4 linked regions of the Saccharomyces cerevisiae S288C genome follow. Changing the gene in region 3 together with the main gene of any one other region gives a genetic interaction. Each region holds a gene or a part of one and is shown on either strand. Other genes may lie near its edges. The genes, in order: HOS2, CLN3, CTK1 and MSS4.

Region 1 (3,944 bases), on a different chromosome or scaffold from region 3:
ACTGTCGACTTTAAATAGCGTCTCAGAAATAACTTATAAGAGAGGTTTATTATTAGAACTATCAATAAAATTAGAGCAATAATTTTAAACGGTTTGATACAAGTTATCTCTTTATTAGACATAATTGTCCAGATGTATTACATGAACTGAGTGACTTGCTCTAATGTTGTAGACACTGATGTCCGGTTTAATTAAGAAAGATTTTGGAAGTTTCACGATATCGATAATGCTGCGGGAGAAGCTTTCAAATTATAAGAAAAGGCTTTTTTTTGTTGTTTTCAGAGTAGTTTGGTGACTTGTCCGTTTCAGAAGTGTCTCGAATACGGAGTGCACCTTCCAAAAATGTTTCTGACGGCATCGAAGAGCCGAACTCTTATACAATACATGTCATTTTTAACAATGATGCAAATAACTTTTAAGGCCTTAACACTCTACATAATATGCTAAAAACATTAAAAAAAAAAAAAGGAAAATAAAAAAAAAAAAAAAAAAAAAAACGGGAGATTAACCGAATAGCAAACTCTTAAACTATGAAAAGGCAATCAATCCACTGTTTTCTTTTTCCATTTCTTCTAGCCTATTTGAACTGTCTGCTTCTGTTTCTTCATTCATTTCTTGAATGATTTTATCCTCTTCTTCTGTCAGGGCACTTATATCTTGTGTCGGTATGCATTCAGCATCCATTCTGACACTTGGTGCTCCTTGCAAGTATCTGATATTTTCTAGACATCGTATTCTAATGTCTTCCAGTAGTTTTTTACTGTTTTTGTTTTCGTATAAGTCATCTAACATAGGATAAAGTGAATAATCCGGCCCGAATGAGTCCCGGAATGGGATATCTTCGGGGATGTCTTCTGGTAGCAAGACATCATTTAAAATTCCTGTCTCGTAGGTCCAAAGCCGTGATACATTTCTAGGTGTATAACCTCCACCGCCCACTACTAGCATTGGTAGACCAAATGATTTGACAAATTTTACGCATTCTCCATGTGCCTTTATATTTAAATTGAAGCATCCTAAGCGATCATGACCTAAGGAATCCGCACCGCATTGTTGGACAATAAGTGTTGGTTTGAAAGTCATTATTAGAGGATCTACAATTGACTTGAAAAGGTTTATATATGAGTCGTCATCTATGCCATCTTCTAGGGGTACATTTAATGCGAAATGTTTTCCTTTGTCGCAACCAATTTCTGTCAGATCACCAGTTCCTGGGAAAAATTCGCCATTATATTTATGAAAAGACAACGTGAAGACCCTATCTGTGGTGTAAAATGCCTCCTGGACACCATCGCCGTGATGTAAGTCGATATCGATATAAAGGATTCTTGGGTGATATCGTAATAAGTTCAAAATAGAAAGCACAATATCATTTACATAGCAAAACCCAGATGGACTATTCTTTTTTGCATGATGAAGACCACCAGACCAATTTATCGCTATGTCCGATTGATTGTTGATTAGTTTCCTGGTGGCGTCAAGGCTCGCACCAGTGTATAGTGTTGTATAATCATATAAATTTTGAAAAATAGGACAGTCGTCTCCAATGTTAAAATTTTCAAGTGTGCCTCTGGGCAGTTTGTTTGCATTTTCTGGTGAAACCTTCGAGAGAAAATTCACGTAGTCTTCCGAGTGAAATTGTAGTAATTCGTCTCTGGTAGCGCTTCTTGTTTCATAAAGGTCCATAATCTTGTGCAATCCATAAGAGGAAACTAGGTGATCCGTTAGCATTAACCGAAACGGCTTCATTGGATGCTTAACACCATAATGGTAATGTGAAACTTTGGAGTTAAAATGATACGATACCCTGGGAGAATAAGCAGAATTAAACTCAAATAATGGTTCGTTCTCCTTTGTTTTCACATCATAACTAAATGTTCCAGACATGTTGCGTGTTGTTATTCACTTGATACCTGATTTTAACGTACTTGAGTAATCTGGCGTCTTTTCTATAACTGTACATTGGCGACACACCTAAAACTGATTAGAATCGTTTCAAGATGCTTTCAGTTCAACATTTAGTAACATAGTAGGAATATCACGTTTAACGATGCCCCAAAGAACATCGAGAATCCTCTATATAGAGTATAAACAGGGCATTCTACATTGGTATAGAGGTGCCTTAGGTATATAGTGGTACCGGTCACATAAATTGACGGGAATATGCGTCTTTAGGCGGCTTTTGGCGTACAGTATTGTTCTTTCTTTCGTGCTTGTGAAACTTGTTATAAACAAAGAAAGAGAAAGATCTCCCCGGCATTCTGGAAGATCGGTAACCGCTGGAGCTATAGGAAAGGGAGATGGATAACAGTAAAGAAAACGGACCATATAAGTTAGCATTGGGGGTTTTCGAAAAAAATAAGAATTGGCATTCAGACTTGAATTCATAAAAGTTGTAAGCAGGCTATGATTAACGATAAACTAGTACATTTTCTGATCCAGAATTATGATGACATCCTAAGAGCACCGCTTTCTGGACAGCTCAAAGATGTGTATTCACTGTACATCAGTGGCGGATACGATGATGAGATGCAGAAGTTGAGAAACGATAAAGACGAGGTCTTACAGTTTGAACAGTTTTGGAATGATCTTCAGGATATTATATTTGCAACGCCGCAGTCCATTCAATTTGACCAGAATCTATTAGTGGCAGATAGGCCAGAAAAAATTGTTTACCTGGACGTTTTTTCCTTGAAAATTCTCTATAACAAGTTCCATGCCTTCTACTATACATTAAAATCGTCCAGTTCTTCATGTGAAGAAAAAGTGTCGAGTTTAACAACAAAACCGGAAGCTGATTCGGAAAAAGACCAACTGCTGGGTAGACTGCTTGGAGTCCTGAACTGGGACGTTAACGTCAGCAACCAGGGGTTACCACGTGAACAACTGAGCAATCGCTTACAAAATTTATTGAGGGAAAAACCATCATCTTTTCAGCTTGCTAAAGAAAGAGCCAAATACACGACCGAGGTCATTGAATACATCCCGATATGTAGTGACTATTCGCATGCATCTCTATTGTCCACCTCGGTGTACATTGTCAATAACAAAATCGTTTCTTTACAATGGTCCAAAATATCCGCATGTCAGGAAAATCACCCAGGATTAATTGAGTGCATTCAATCAAAAATTCACTTTATCCCTAATATCAAACCACAAACTGATATTTCGTTAGGAGATTGTTCCTATTTGGATACCTGTCATAAATTAAATACGTGTCGATACATTCATTACCTGCAATATATTCCGTCATGCTTGCAAGAGCGAGCTGATCGTGAAACTGCGAGTGAAAATAAAAGAATACGGTCAAACGTTTCCATTCCATTTTATACTCTGGGCAATTGCTCCGCACATTGTATCAAAAAGGCTTTACCTGCACAGTGGATCCGTTGCGATGTGCGGAAATTTGATTTTAGGGTTCTTGGAAAGTTTTCGGTAGTTATTGCAGATCCTGCATGGAATATCCATATGAACCTACCATACGGTACTTGCAACGATATTGAACTATTAGGTTTGCCTTTGCACGAACTACAAGATGAAGGTATTATTTTTCTTTGGGTGACGGGTAGAGCTATAGAATTGGGTAAAGAGTCTTTGAATAACTGGGGTTACAACGTGATAAATGAAGTTTCATGGATAAAGACAAACCAACTGGGTAGAACAATTGTTACAGGTCGTACGGGTCATTGGTTAAATCATTCTAAGGAGCATTTATTGGTGGGCTTAAAGGGTAATCCAAAGTGGATCAACAAACATATTGACGTCGATTTGATCGTATCAATGACCAGAGAGACTAGTAGAAAGCCTGATGAACTGTATGGTATAGCAGAACGGTTGGCAGGCACCCATGCCAGAAAACTAGAGATATTCGGAAGGGATCACAATACGCGGCCTGGCTGGTTTACCATCGGAAACCAGTTGACAGGAAATTGCATTTACGAAAT
Region 2 (4,297 bases), on a different chromosome or scaffold from region 3:
TTGACGACTTGATAATGGCGATCAATTCTAAAATTTCGAATACACATAATAACAACATTTCACCAATCACCAAGATCAAATATCAGGACGAAGATGGGGATTTTGTTGTGTTAGGTAGCGATGAAGATTGGAATGTTGCTAAAGAAATGTTGGCGGAAAACAATGAGAAATTCTTGAACATTCGTCTGTATTGATAAATAAAACTAGTATACAGCAAATACTAAATAATTCAAGAAAAAAACATTAGATAGAGAGGGGCAGATGTTCAAGCTATACCCATTATATTGATCCACACTTAGTATTAAGATACGTCTGTGAAGGATGAAAAAAAATGTATAATGTGACTAGAGGAAGTAAGGAGAAAAAACGATAGTAATCGTATTTTAGGTTGTGCGTTTTTATAATTTTTTTTTTTTTGTAATTCTATGCAAATGTAATATAAGTATATTTAAAGAAATAATGAGTCCTGTGAAAACAAAAAGAAAAAAAGATCATTAATGTATGTTAACGTATTTGCTTTGCAAATTTTAATTTATTTGTTGTTAAATGCATTTTTTTTTTGTCGTTTCAGCGAGTTTTCTTGAGGTTGCTACTATCATTAAAATCACAATCCACAGAGGAAGTTGATCTCTTTTTCAGTTGGGTGGGGGCAGAGCATGGGTGAGCAGTGGCCATGGGTCTAACAGGAAATAATCTTTTTGAACGCACAGATAAATTTTGTAATAATTTTCTATTTGACATTAGAGATGGGGTGGTGGGAGTTAGTGGGCTTGGCCAAAAGATGCTTGAATTTTGTGGGATGCTCAGTGACCTTTTAAAAGAATTTTGGGTAGAAGAGAACGAACCTGAATGTGAATGGTGTGATGCAGAGTCTGGGGTCGTCATTGAACTTGAAGTCTTGTAAGGGGAATTGAATGGAGATGGAGAGGATGAAGATGAGGTTGGAGTGAAGGCAAATGGTGGAGAAATGCTATCTTTGGTCAACCTTCTTAAATGAGTGTGATCCGAGAAATAGTCTGTGGCCGCAGATGAAACCGTAGCGCTCTTTGGAGTAGTAGCATTTGAGTAAACACAAGTCAATGAATCGCTGTCAAAGGACTGAGCAAAGATAGTATTGTACATGGTTTCCAATTCTTGTGAACGGTAGAATTCTTCCAGTTTCAATTGAATACAATAGTTTTGTAATGCGTCTAAGAGAGATTTTGCTAAAGATGTCTTATTGCTATTCAAATATTTTGATTTGAAACTGGAGGGGAAAGAATTTTGGTCCATTGCTATATCCAATAAAGTATTAGAGATTTCTGACAATTTAATATCTAGGTCTTGGCAGTTTTCCTCCAAAGCCAGATTGATATTTTCCCAAAGGTTTGAATTATAGTAGTTCAAAGATAATTTGATGAGGTTAATTGCACCCAGCGCAATTAGTGAACGATCATATTTAAATGATAATTCGAGATTGAAGGAAGCTAACTCGCACAACATAATGGCACCCAATTTGATCTCGTTGATGTTCAAAGAGGGGCCTTGAGAAGAGGACGATTTATTAATAGCAGTACCAGCAGCGTTATTTAATAAGGCCAGTTTCTGTTGAATGAAAGCTTCCAAAGGGGCAGAAAGGACAACGCCAGGCGATAACGGGGACGTAGATTGGAACAAGAAGATGTCGATGTAGGAGTCGAATGTTGCCGACTGACAGATGGACCAATCGAGTGATTTGAAAAGATGCATTTCCATAGTCGTGAATTGCTTTATAGAATATTGATTGCAACACAAGTTTTGCAAGACTTTCAAAGTGGCCATTCTATTCTTGGAGTCCCAAAATTTGGACGAAATCCAAAGCGCGGTCAAGGACAAGAGCTGGTAGTTGTAACTCTTGATAATGAACCGCGAGGAATACTTGTCCAAGATAGTGAAAGTAAGGAACAAAGTCGAGGTCGATAGATTGAGTCTTGTGTGACAGTACATGATGAAGTCAAAGATCAAGAAACGCATCTTCGGATTAACTTGTGGCTGAGAGTTGAAGTTAGTCAGGTTGTACAGCGGCCTTTCTGTGTGGGAAAGACGGAAATAGTGGTCCAATTGATCATTATTGTATTCGCTGATCGCTGAGTGATGTGCTTGCAATTCTCTTTTAACGAGATTAGGGTTTTTAGACTTTGCACTAGCAATGGCCCGCCTCTTTTGCAAGAGCAAGGGCAAATTAGGACATGAGGCAGCGCTGACAGAGGCGGCAGTGGCGGTGGAAGTGCCACTAGCGGTAGCATACCTTGCATTAGCGTATCTAATTATGGTATCCTTCAATATGGCCATCGTACAGAAAGCGTATCAAATCAGTGTCTTGAACGAGAGTAAAAGGGAGATGCAATGGAATGTAAGAAATGCTATGGGTCAGAAAAGAAATGCAGAGGAGTTAAACCGAATGAGGAAATGCAATGGATACGTTAAATTGGAGATGTGAGATTGCGACTGGGACTCGGATGGATGCTTGCTTTTGGATGCTAGTACAGAGAAAAAAGAGGGAGAAAAGAAAAGAGAAATAGAAAAAGGTTGGTTTAAGTCGGCAGAGGAGACTACTCGGGCAATTCGTTTCCTAATGGGTATAGTCCTCTTTCCTCAGAAATCCATTTGACTGGCAGACTCAGTAGTAGAAGAAAAAATCAAGAAAGAAATTGTGTGAAAGTATACTACACAAGAAAATGTTTAAGAAGAAGATTAAAAGCTCGAGGAAAGTACAGATATACAAATTATAAATAGGTAGGAGGAAGAAAAAAAAAAGATGAGGGCAAAAACCCAAGGCCAAATATGGAAATGTGGCAGAGGGACACACTAATCCGATAGTAAATTTATGTAACTTGATCATTACAGTGAGAGCAGGCTTGGTAATTTCTTTTTCTTGCCTGATAATTTTTCACTTTTTCTTTTTTTTTTTCTTGAAAGTTCACAATTTAGGGTTTGAGCACAGCGTTTGGTTGCGACACTTCCCCAGAAGGAAAACCGGCCTCTTTGGCTGGGGAGGGAAGAAGGGGGAGGAGAGCTCAGAAAGCCCTATCGCGATATGAGGGACCGATCTGTATCAGCATACTTTCGGTATCATCACGGTCGCAGGATAGAGATAGTGAATGAGTTAGCTGTTTTACAGGCCAAGCGTTCAAACGAGACGAATGGCGACATTTGCCCGTCAAGAAAACCCGCCGAGTTTTTTCCTAAACGGGTAAAACAGCCATGCACCGCAGCACGTCGACGAGGTGATATTTCCAATTTGGGAAATTTCCCAAATCAGTAATGTAGCCTCTACGGGTGTCTCTGTCAGCCCCGTGGTCGCCAGCACAGAATGTATCGTACCCCTGAAGGTAGTTTTTTACCGCCGTGGCACACGATAAAGGTGCACCTTGTGATAATAAGGTGGAAAAATATATATGAAAAAGTGAAATTGATTGTGGCTGCACTAGGACATCATTATTTCTTACTTGGCTATTTACACGTACTTACGCTGGCTGTATATCATTTAAGGGGCGGAGGACGAAGAGGACGGACCCGAGATCATCCGGTCCAAGAAACGGGTCATCCGGTCCTTAGCATTGTCTAGACTATCTAGGGCAGGACGGACATCCACGTGGAAAGTAGGCATTCCGTTTTCGTCGTCGGGCCCTCCGTAGAAATCCAAGACGTATCTAACTTCCTTGAAGGTTGGAGGTTGTTGTTCCGCTTTGCGCTCGCCTCGGAGTACAATCCAGTCGTGCCTGTCGAATGGTAGTTCTTGGCTAAAATGGGACGGAAACAGTAGGCCGCACAGGTGCATCCAGCGAGCACGAGGGCTCAATACGCCCGGTTTCCCCATGAATTTCAGCAACTTAGGCTGCACGTGGCTTTCATCTGTGTGCGGTTTTTCCCATTCGAGCACTTCCTGCCAGCACCCTTCATTTAGAAAGTTGTGGACCTGCACCATGGACTCCACTGCATCTTCGGCGACTTCGCCGCTACCGCCAATCTTGCCCTTTCTAACCATAGCATTGTACATCTGTTGTGGAGAAGGATACTCCCAGAACTCGTTACTGTCTGGACTCTTGGGGATGCTGGAGATGGTCCGATCAACGGGCAAGTCCATCTTTTGGCCAGGCTGTTTGGATGCTGCCAACTCCGGCATATTGTTCAGCGGGTTTATTCTATCGTTATCTCCCTGCATAACGGGGCACTCAGAGGATGGTGGCGACGACGACGACGACTCGTGCATGACTGGGCACCCTGACATGGATGATACTGCTGCCCCACCAATATCTTTGCCCGTAGTTTTTTGATC
Region 3 (3,880 bases):
CGAAGAGGACACAAAGAATTTCAGGCAAGAGAATGAACGCTAACAAACAAAGGCAGTATAATCAGCTTGCACACGAACTTAGAGAGCTTCAAACGAATTTACAGGAAACGACAAAACAACTAGATATCATGTCGAAACAATGTAACGAAAACTTGGTAGGCCAATTGGGTAAGGTACATGGAAGTTGGTTGATAGGTAGTTACATTTATTATATGGAGCAGATGCTTGGAAAAACGCAATAAGGCATAAGAGGTAAGACAGTTAGTGGCCAGGCTAATTTATAAGATGTGAAATGAGATGGTGTTGGTACGATGGACAAACAGCTTGCATAAAAAGACAACCAAGTTACGTATAGTGAACGAGTGAAAATAGGCAAACCTTCTATTCACTAGGCCGCTTCACATGAAATTAGATGTTCGTATCATATTTACGGGTATCGCGTAATAAATAAGTTATTAATCTATTTTTTGTGTCTACTTATTTCAATTGGCTATATATCCTTATTTATCATCATCGTCATTATTATTATTATTATTATTATTACTATTACCATTACCCTTATTGTTTGTGTTGGTGGATAGTATGTTAGGACGCTTTTGTTTTCTTGCCAATTTGACTTCATATTCGTGGCAACTTACCAATCCATCAAGAACTAAAGGTTCAGGCTTTGGTTCTTCCTTGAAATAGTCGCTTTGTAAAGCTTCGGTTGCACTAAACCTTTTCGTCTGATCATAACATAACAAATTAATCGCCAATTGCAGACATTTTGAAGATGGTAAAACGCTTTTAAATTTCTCAGAAAAATTGTTGACATACTTGGTAGTTTGCTGTGGCATAATCATAAAAAACCACGGCATATCGTAAAGCGTTGGCCAGCTATTTATTGTAGGAGTTCCCATAATCTTGAAAATTGATTCTATTTGCTCTAATTCATTAGAGCCCTGGAAAATTGCAGTTTTATTGAATAATTCCACCAGGAGGCAGCCACAACCCCACATGTCAACTTCTGTTCCATAATTTGTAGTTCCCAACAATAGTTCTGGTGGTCTGTACCACAACGTAATGACACGGTTAGTGTAATCAGCTCGCGAATTCATTTTCCTCGCTAGTCCAAAATCTGTTATTTTTAGATTCCCCTGGTTATCGATTAAGATGTTTGAGCCTTTAACATCACGGTGTAAAATCTTATTATCATGTAAATATTCCATTCCTAATAGCAATTGTTTGAAGAGATGTTTGCATTGTGAGTGAGAAATTTGGACTTCCTTATTTAATAGTAATCCACTTAAGTCGTTGTCAGCATATTCAAATATCATATATACAGTTTTTTGAGATTCGACCATTATTTCTTTTATAGTAGAGACATTTGGATGATCAAAACTTTGTAGTAGTTTAATCTCTCGTATAGAGGTTATGGGAAAGCCTTCCCTCTCTCCTTGTAATCTCAATTTTTTCAGCGCTACTAACTTCTCTGTATTCGTGTTTTTTGCCTTGTAAACTTTACCATATGTTCCTTCTCCGACTTGCATTATCCTTAGGTAAACTGACGTGCTCCTTTGCTGCGTTAGAACCGAAACTGGAACTTTCTTAGCTATGACAGACCGCCCTTCCTGGCCTTTGTGGTTATAGTATTTTGAAGCATGATAGCCATTTTTTATATCATTACTAGTATTGGATGAATTATTATATCTTGATTTCTCAACAGATTTGGGCCCCTTTGGCAAATGAGACAGGAATTCAGCCTTTGTTTCATCCCTTTTTATGCTTTTAGGCCTATTTTCATACGACGTATTATTATTGTTGTATCTTGAACCTTGATATCTGGAACTTGTTTGAAAGGATGTATCGTTATAGCGAGATAAATTATTGTTACCACGACTTTTCGTGTGGCCTGGTTGGTCATTTGAATTTACCCTATGAGAAGATATATTGTCCATATTCGACTGGTAACCACTATCAGTCCGTATTCTCTTTGGTGGCGGTGGTCTCGCTAGGGACTGAGGATTTGGCGACCTCTTTCCGAACAAGGGTCTCTTATTATTTCTGCTATAACTCTTTGAATAAGTATTGCCATTATTGTAGGACATTGTTACCAAATAATTTATGCTGTATGGTCCCTGTGTTATTCTAGTGCAAAGAATAGTGCTAGAATTAGTTTTATTTACAAATAGGTTTTTTAAAAGTACTAATGGAACAAAAAAAGTCCAAAAAAAGCTAATATGCACAGTGAATAAATACACTGATAAGACCTTCTCTTTTTTTCTAAATGTATTTTACTGTCTGAACCGTCCATTTTTTAACATCTCATTGGCAATCAATATGTAAAGTTACCTTATTATGTAGAGGTTTTTCTCTTCCATCAGTGAAAAAAAAAAACGAAAAAAATAGAGCTTCACGTGACCTTTTTAAGCCAAATAAGAATAATGCTAAAAGGAAGTTAATTACTTTACTAATTTCCAGTATCCACAAGCATGAGGATATTAAGGACTTCTTATGAAATCCATTTATTGTGTATAAAACGTACGTATATTCTTTCTTTAGTTCATCGATTTTTAGATTAGCGCTAATATTATTATCCTAGACAAAAAATAGTTTAATAGGGTTTCTCTCGCATTCTTTTCATTCTTTATTTAGAGCATCCAGCGCAGTTGTCGAAGAGTTGGCATCTAGTTGTCGTAAATCTTTGGATGATTCCAGATAGGCACTTAACCGTCTTTGCTGCTCCTTATGGATTTGATCTTCTGTATCATCCTGGTGCTCATTTTCGTTGTCCTCGTCTATGGCACTAGTAGAAAACACTCGTCTTAAGAACCTTGAATTGTCAGCATTGTGGACCTCATCCGCTTCATCAGCTTGTACAGACAACGGAGAACGGTCTGCCGAGTGAGTTCTATAACTGAGACCATGCGTTGGATGAGTTGTCTTCCATGTCGTGCTTGGTAATTCCTCAACCAGACTTGCTGATGGTAGTAACTGGTTAGTCTTCACTGAAACATTACCAGGGTTAAAAAATTCAATAAACCTCAAGACTTTAGCAATGACCAAGGTATCGGCATCTTTGCCCCAAATCAAATCCAGGTGTTCATAATTGTCAACTTTAACATCAAAGACGGAGTTGAAGGGTAGATTTTTTTTCATCACATCAATATCAACTAAAGAATCTATGCCACCATAAATTAAAAGAATGGGAATCTTGATATTTGTTCTAGTAGGAAAATTAGCAATTTGGTAAGGCCTAGTTAAGGAATTTAGCATGTTATCAGACTCTTCAAACATTTGAAATTTCTGAGATCTTAATATTTGGAACCAGTGAACAATGGATTTTACACTGGTCGTTGAATAAAGTTTTGCGTAAGAAGCAATCTTTTGTCTCGGTAGAATGTTAAACGACTTCCAATTGAACAGTATCTTGTTTGCGATATCGATACACAAATTGAAAAGTGTTGGATGTAAAGTTCTTTGCCAAATGACAGCTGAAGGTAACACAATTTTCCTACCAAAGAAAAGATACATAAAGCCGGGCGATGATTTGGCCAAGGTATCGACAATTCTGTTGTGCAACCCCTTTGGAGTCATAGCGGGTGCTATGGCTATAAAATGGGAGACTTTTCGATTCAATTTTTCACTCAACGAAAATGCAGCAAACATTTGAGCAGAGCCTTGAGAGAATCCGATGCAGATGACCTTGTCCACTTTTGTTATATCTAAGATGAATTCAATTGAGTTTGGAATGTCAAAGAACGCAAATTCGTCGATAGAAAAATCCCAAAACTTGTTCGATTTTGGTGGTTTGTTCAAGTGGGCAGTTGAATATTTATTACCTCTATTATTTCCCATCCAGACGTCGTAACCTAAATCATGCAATACAAACGGTAAGTTT
Region 4 (4,568 bases), on a different chromosome or scaffold from region 3:
AGTCGTTAGATGGACTGCCGCCGCGCTTAGTTCCGCCGCGCAAATACCCGCCAATCTCATTGTTATTAGAGGATTCTCTCGAATCTGAGCTTTGTATCGAATTATTGTCGTTGTTGTTGGTACTGTTGTTTCTGCTCAGTATCGACATAGGCGAATTGGTAGTCTTACCGTTGTTCTTGTTGGCGCTGGTAATGATGAGCGGCAAATCCGATCCTGTGCGGGAACGGATGCCCGAGCCCGTGCCCGCGCCCGAGCCTGCTGCGGTGGTACCGGGGGAAGAAACCGCTGGAGCTTGTGGTGGCGGCAAATGTATTTTTTTTTTGGCGCCGGCGACGATAGTAGTAGTGGCAGTGTTACTATTAGTGGAGGTGGAGGAGTAAGGGAAAACATCCTCGTTGGTTGCAGTATACTGCGGCTGAATAGCACCGGAAATTTGTGGGTCTGTAGCCTGTGCGACATGGCCATTGCACAATGACTTAGGATCCGAAGGTGTATTGGAAGGCGCGAGTGGGCTGGCGGCAGCATGCACAGCGTTATCGCTGTCACGGCGATCTTGAAGTGTAGTATTGGTCGTAGTAGTAGTATCGTTTTCCTTAGGATCGTCTTTGATATCTCCGCCACTTTGGACTTTCAAACTCGGCGAACCAGACGGAGTATGCACGGGAGTGTTGTTGGGCGCACATGTCGATTTCATAATAGAAAGCAAAGGGTTTTCATCGTAGGTTGTCTTGAGAGATTCGATGCTAGCACTGGAAATTGTAGGATGGCGGGAGTTAGCTCCATCACTAACTTCATCTTCTGCATGTTTTTTGCCGTCTTGGCTGCTATTCATCAGCGTGGCACGAGATGTTTTATTGTGCAAATAGTGATGATTGTTGGCGGTTGTTTCCATCGAAAGCAGAGAGGCAGCCGCATTAGATTCGTCCATGTGTTTGCTTTGAGAGCGCGCCTTGTCTAGCATCGTGAGTTAAGGTCCATGCAAATGGTTTGAGTGCGGTAGTGTCCTAGTTCCTGTGCGCTGTGCGAAGGTGGGCGCTTCTTACGATCACTGGTCTCTTGTCCTTGTCCTCTATGTTCTTTTCATTTTTCTTTTTGACGGCGGCAGTTTCCGCCTGGCATTGGTGAAAAGGCGCCTTGAAGCACGGCGGACGTGTCACCCGGACCGAAACAGAAGAGAAGTAGCGCAGTCTTGGCAATTATAGGATGCCCGAAATCCAACGTGCATTCTATTCTCGTGATTATTCTCGTGATTTCGTGTGCAACCAATGGACTTTAAAAACTGCGCTCTACTACTTGTAGCAATGCATGTTTTGGGCAAGTGGGGTTGAGTGGAGTGTCACCTCAGACGACGTGTCGCTTTTGTATATCCGTTTTTACGGACATAAGAACGTGCCGCCCATTCTGGGAAAACAAAACACAGGTTAAAAAAAAAAAGAAAGGAATGGATGGGGAATGGGACAGAGAGGAAAGATAGAGGTGGAAATAACAAAAGCGTGACAACAAAGAAGCAAATACGGAGGGACAAGCAAAGAAAAAACAAGGACAGAAACAAAAAATAGGAACAAGAAGTAGCACATTCATAAGCAAGAGAGTACGAAACCTGTTTACACCCCCCGAGACAGTTGCCCTATATCGCTTTTCCCTATCAATAGTTTCTAACTCATGTCAGTCTTGCGATCACAACCTCCTTCAGTTGTACCGCTACATCTGACAACATCCACCAGTCGCAAAACAGAACAGGAACCATCGCTATTGCACTCTGCAATAATTGAGCGACATCAAGACCGTTCGGTGCCGAATTCGAATTCGAATCCGGATTCGAACCATCGAATAAAAAAGGATCGCAATAATCACACTAGCTACCATTCTTCATCGAATTCGGAGTCAAACATGGAAAGTCCTCGCTTGTCAGATGGTGAGTCTTCCACTCCGACCTCTATTGAAGAGTTAAACCCAACAATAAATAATTCGAGGCTGGTGAAGAGAAACTACTCAATATCAATTGATCCTTTGCATGACAACAGCAATAATAATACGGATGATGATCATCCAAACACCATAACTTCTCCCCGACCAAATAGCACTAGTAACAAGGAAATGCAGAAATATAGTTTTCCCGAAGGTAAGGAGTCGAAGAAAATAACAACACCCTCGTTAAACTCGAATAATTGTTTGGATTTGGACAATTCCAGTCTTGTTCACACAGATTCGTATATACAAGACTTAAATGACGATCATATTTTACTAAACAAGCGCGTTTCGAGGCGATCTTCCAGAATATCGGCAGTAACAGCAACTTCCACGACAATTAAGCAAAGAAGAAATACTCAGGATTCAAACCTGCCCAATATTCCCTTTCACGCTTCCAAGCATTCTCAAATTCTACCTATGGATGATTCAGATGTAATAAAATTGGCCAATGGAGATACCAGCATGAAACCAAATTCTGCTACTAAAATTAGTCACTCAATGACTTCTTTGCCTCTTCACCCACTTCCACAACCTTCTCAAAAGTCAAAGCAATATCATATGATATCCAAATCAACCACTTCTTTGCCGCCAGAGAATGACCACTACTATCAACACAGTCGTGGCACCAACCATAATCACGCTGCTAATGCTGCTGCTGTTAATAATAATACTACTACTACTACCGCTGCTACGGGTCTGAAAAGATCAGAGTCTGCAACGGCAGAAATTAAGAAGATGAGACAATCTTTGCTGCATAAAAGAGAAATGAAAAGGAAAAGAAAAACATTTTTGGTGGATGACGATCGTGTTTTGATCGGTAATAAAGTCAGTGAAGGCCATGTCAACTTTATTATAGCTTATAACATGCTAACTGGTATTCGTGTCGCAGTGTCACGTTGTTCTGGCATAATGAAACCTTTAACTCCGGCAGACTTTAGATTTACGAAGAAGCTTGCCTTTGATTATCACGGAAATGAATTGACCCCTTCTTCTCAGTATGCATTTAAGTTTAAGGACTACTGTCCCGAAGTCTTTAGGGAACTTCGTGCATTATTCGGCTTAGACCCTGCTGATTATTTGGTTTCGTTAACTTCCAAGTACATTTTGAGTGAGTTGAACTCGCCAGGTAAAAGTGGTTCATTTTTTTATTATTCGAGAGATTACAAATATATTATCAAGACCATACATCATTCTGAGCATATTCATCTGAGAAAGCACATACAAGAATACTATAACCATGTAAGAGACAATCCAAACACTTTGATTTGTCAATTTTATGGTTTGCATAGAGTGAAAATGCCTATATCGTTTCAAAATAAAATTAAGCATCGGAAAATTTACTTCCTAGTCATGAATAACTTATTTCCACCACACTTAGACATTCACATTACTTATGATTTAAAAGGTTCCACATGGGGCCGTTTTACCAATTTGGATAAAGAAAGGTTGGCGAAAGATAGATCATATAGGCCTGTGATGAAAGATTTAAATTGGCTTGAAGAAGGTCAGAAAATTAAATTCGGTCCATTGAAGAAGAAGACTTTTTTGACACAGCTGAAAAAAGATGTGGAATTGCTTGCTAAATTGAATACAATGGACTATTCCTTGTTAATTGGCATTCATGACATCAATAAAGCTAAAGAAGACGACTTACAATTGGCGGATACGGCATCTATTGAGGAGCAACCACAGACTCAAGGACCCATAAGAACCGGTACCGGAACGGTAGTACGACATTTTTTTAGAGAGTTTGAAGGTGGAATTCGAGCATCTGATCAATTCAACAATGATGTGGATTTGATTTATTACGTGGGGATAATCGATTTCTTGACTAATTACTCAGTTATGAAGAAATTAGAAACGTTTTGGAGAAGTCTACGCCATGATACCAAGTTGGTGAGTGCCATACCTCCAAGAGACTACGCCAATAGGTTTTACGAATTCATAGAAGATTCTGTAGATCCTCTGCCCCAGAAAAAAACTCAATCGTCGTATAGAGACGACCCTAACCAGAAAAATTATAAAGACTGAGTAGGGCACAGGTAAATAACCTATCGTCTATGTACTCAGTCTAATCTACTTTGATTTAATTTAATTCAAGTTATATAAATCTATTCTTTTCCCTTTAATTTTAATATTTTAATTTCAATCCTTTTCTTATTTTCTATTTTTGCTTTTTTTTTTTCTTTTTTCCATATTCTCAGGCCACGTCAGGCTTGCATAAGCCACGCTAGCTAATAATTCAGCGAGACCCTATTCCAAACCTAATTGTTCGGAACCATGCCATATCTCTTCCGCAGTGTGTGGCTAAGCGGCTTTAAGAGGATACGAAATGTCAAAAAACGAGAAAATTCGATTATATCTGTACGAACTTTTCTTTGCGCTTACTGCCTGTTTACTTTGCTTTGCCTTCTACTGTTTTTTTTTGCTCGAGGCCGATGGTGAACTGCAACGTTATATAAACTAAAGTGCCAGAATAAAAATAAAGAAAGGCAAAGGGAGACTATCCGTCTTCGAAACAAGTCAAAAGAGCGAAAACTAATGAGCCAACAACAAGGTTACTACCAACAAGGACCCCCACAGCAAGGTTATTATCA

The links.
Region 1: mutations in CTK1 (region 3) and HOS2 together harm fitness more than expected from each alone (negative genetic interaction), as found in Saccharomyces cerevisiae (4 studies listed by BioGRID, with this or other methods).
Region 2: mutations in CTK1 (region 3) and CLN3 together harm fitness more than expected from each alone (negative genetic interaction), as found in Saccharomyces cerevisiae (3 studies listed by BioGRID).
Region 4: mutations in CTK1 (region 3) and MSS4 together harm fitness less than expected from each alone (positive genetic interaction), as found in Saccharomyces cerevisiae (2 studies listed by BioGRID).

What each region holds. Positions count from the first base shown.
Region 1 is NC_001139.9:139,840-143,783, forward strand, and holds HOS2 (histone deacetylase HOS2), read right to left. Parts: upstream 1,888-3,944; coding exon 529-1,887; downstream 1-528. Other genes in the region: YGL194C-A (uncharacterized protein), read right to left, coding at 1-122; YGL193C (uncharacterized protein), read right to left, coding at 2,077-2,388; IME4 (mRNA (N6-adenosine)-methyltransferase), read left to right, coding at 2,407-3,944.
Region 2 is NC_001133.9:65,211-69,507, forward strand, and holds CLN3 (cyclin CLN3), read right to left. Parts: upstream 2,311-4,297; coding exon 568-2,310; downstream 1-567. Other genes in the region: Rho family guanine nucleotide exchange factor CDC24, read left to right, coding at 1-194; holocytochrome c synthase CYC3, read right to left, coding at 3,506-4,297. UniProt on the Saccharomyces cerevisiae protein: Essential for the control of the cell cycle at the G1/S (start) transition. CLN3 may be an upstream activator of the G1 cyclins which directly catalyze start.
Region 3 is NC_001143.9:181,165-185,044, reverse strand, and holds CTK1 (cyclin-dependent serine/threonine protein kinase CTK1), read right to left. Parts: upstream 2,088-3,880; coding exon 501-2,087; downstream 1-500. Other genes in the region: HSK3 (Hsk3p), read left to right, coding at 33-242; TGL1 (sterol esterase), read right to left, coding at 2,620-3,880. UniProt on the Saccharomyces cerevisiae protein: Catalytic subunit of the CTDK-I complex, which hyperphosphorylates the C-terminal heptapeptide repeat domain (CTD) of the largest RNA polymerase II subunit.
Region 4 is NC_001136.10:866,562-871,129, forward strand, and holds MSS4 (1-phosphatidylinositol-4-phosphate 5-kinase), read left to right. Parts: upstream 1-1,662; coding exon 1,663-4,002; downstream 4,003-4,568. Other genes in the region: DNA-binding transcriptional regulator UME6, read right to left, coding at 1-961; YDR209C (uncharacterized protein), read right to left, coding at 4,475-4,568; cysteine-rich palmitoylated domain-containing protein CPP2, read left to right, coding at 4,513-4,568.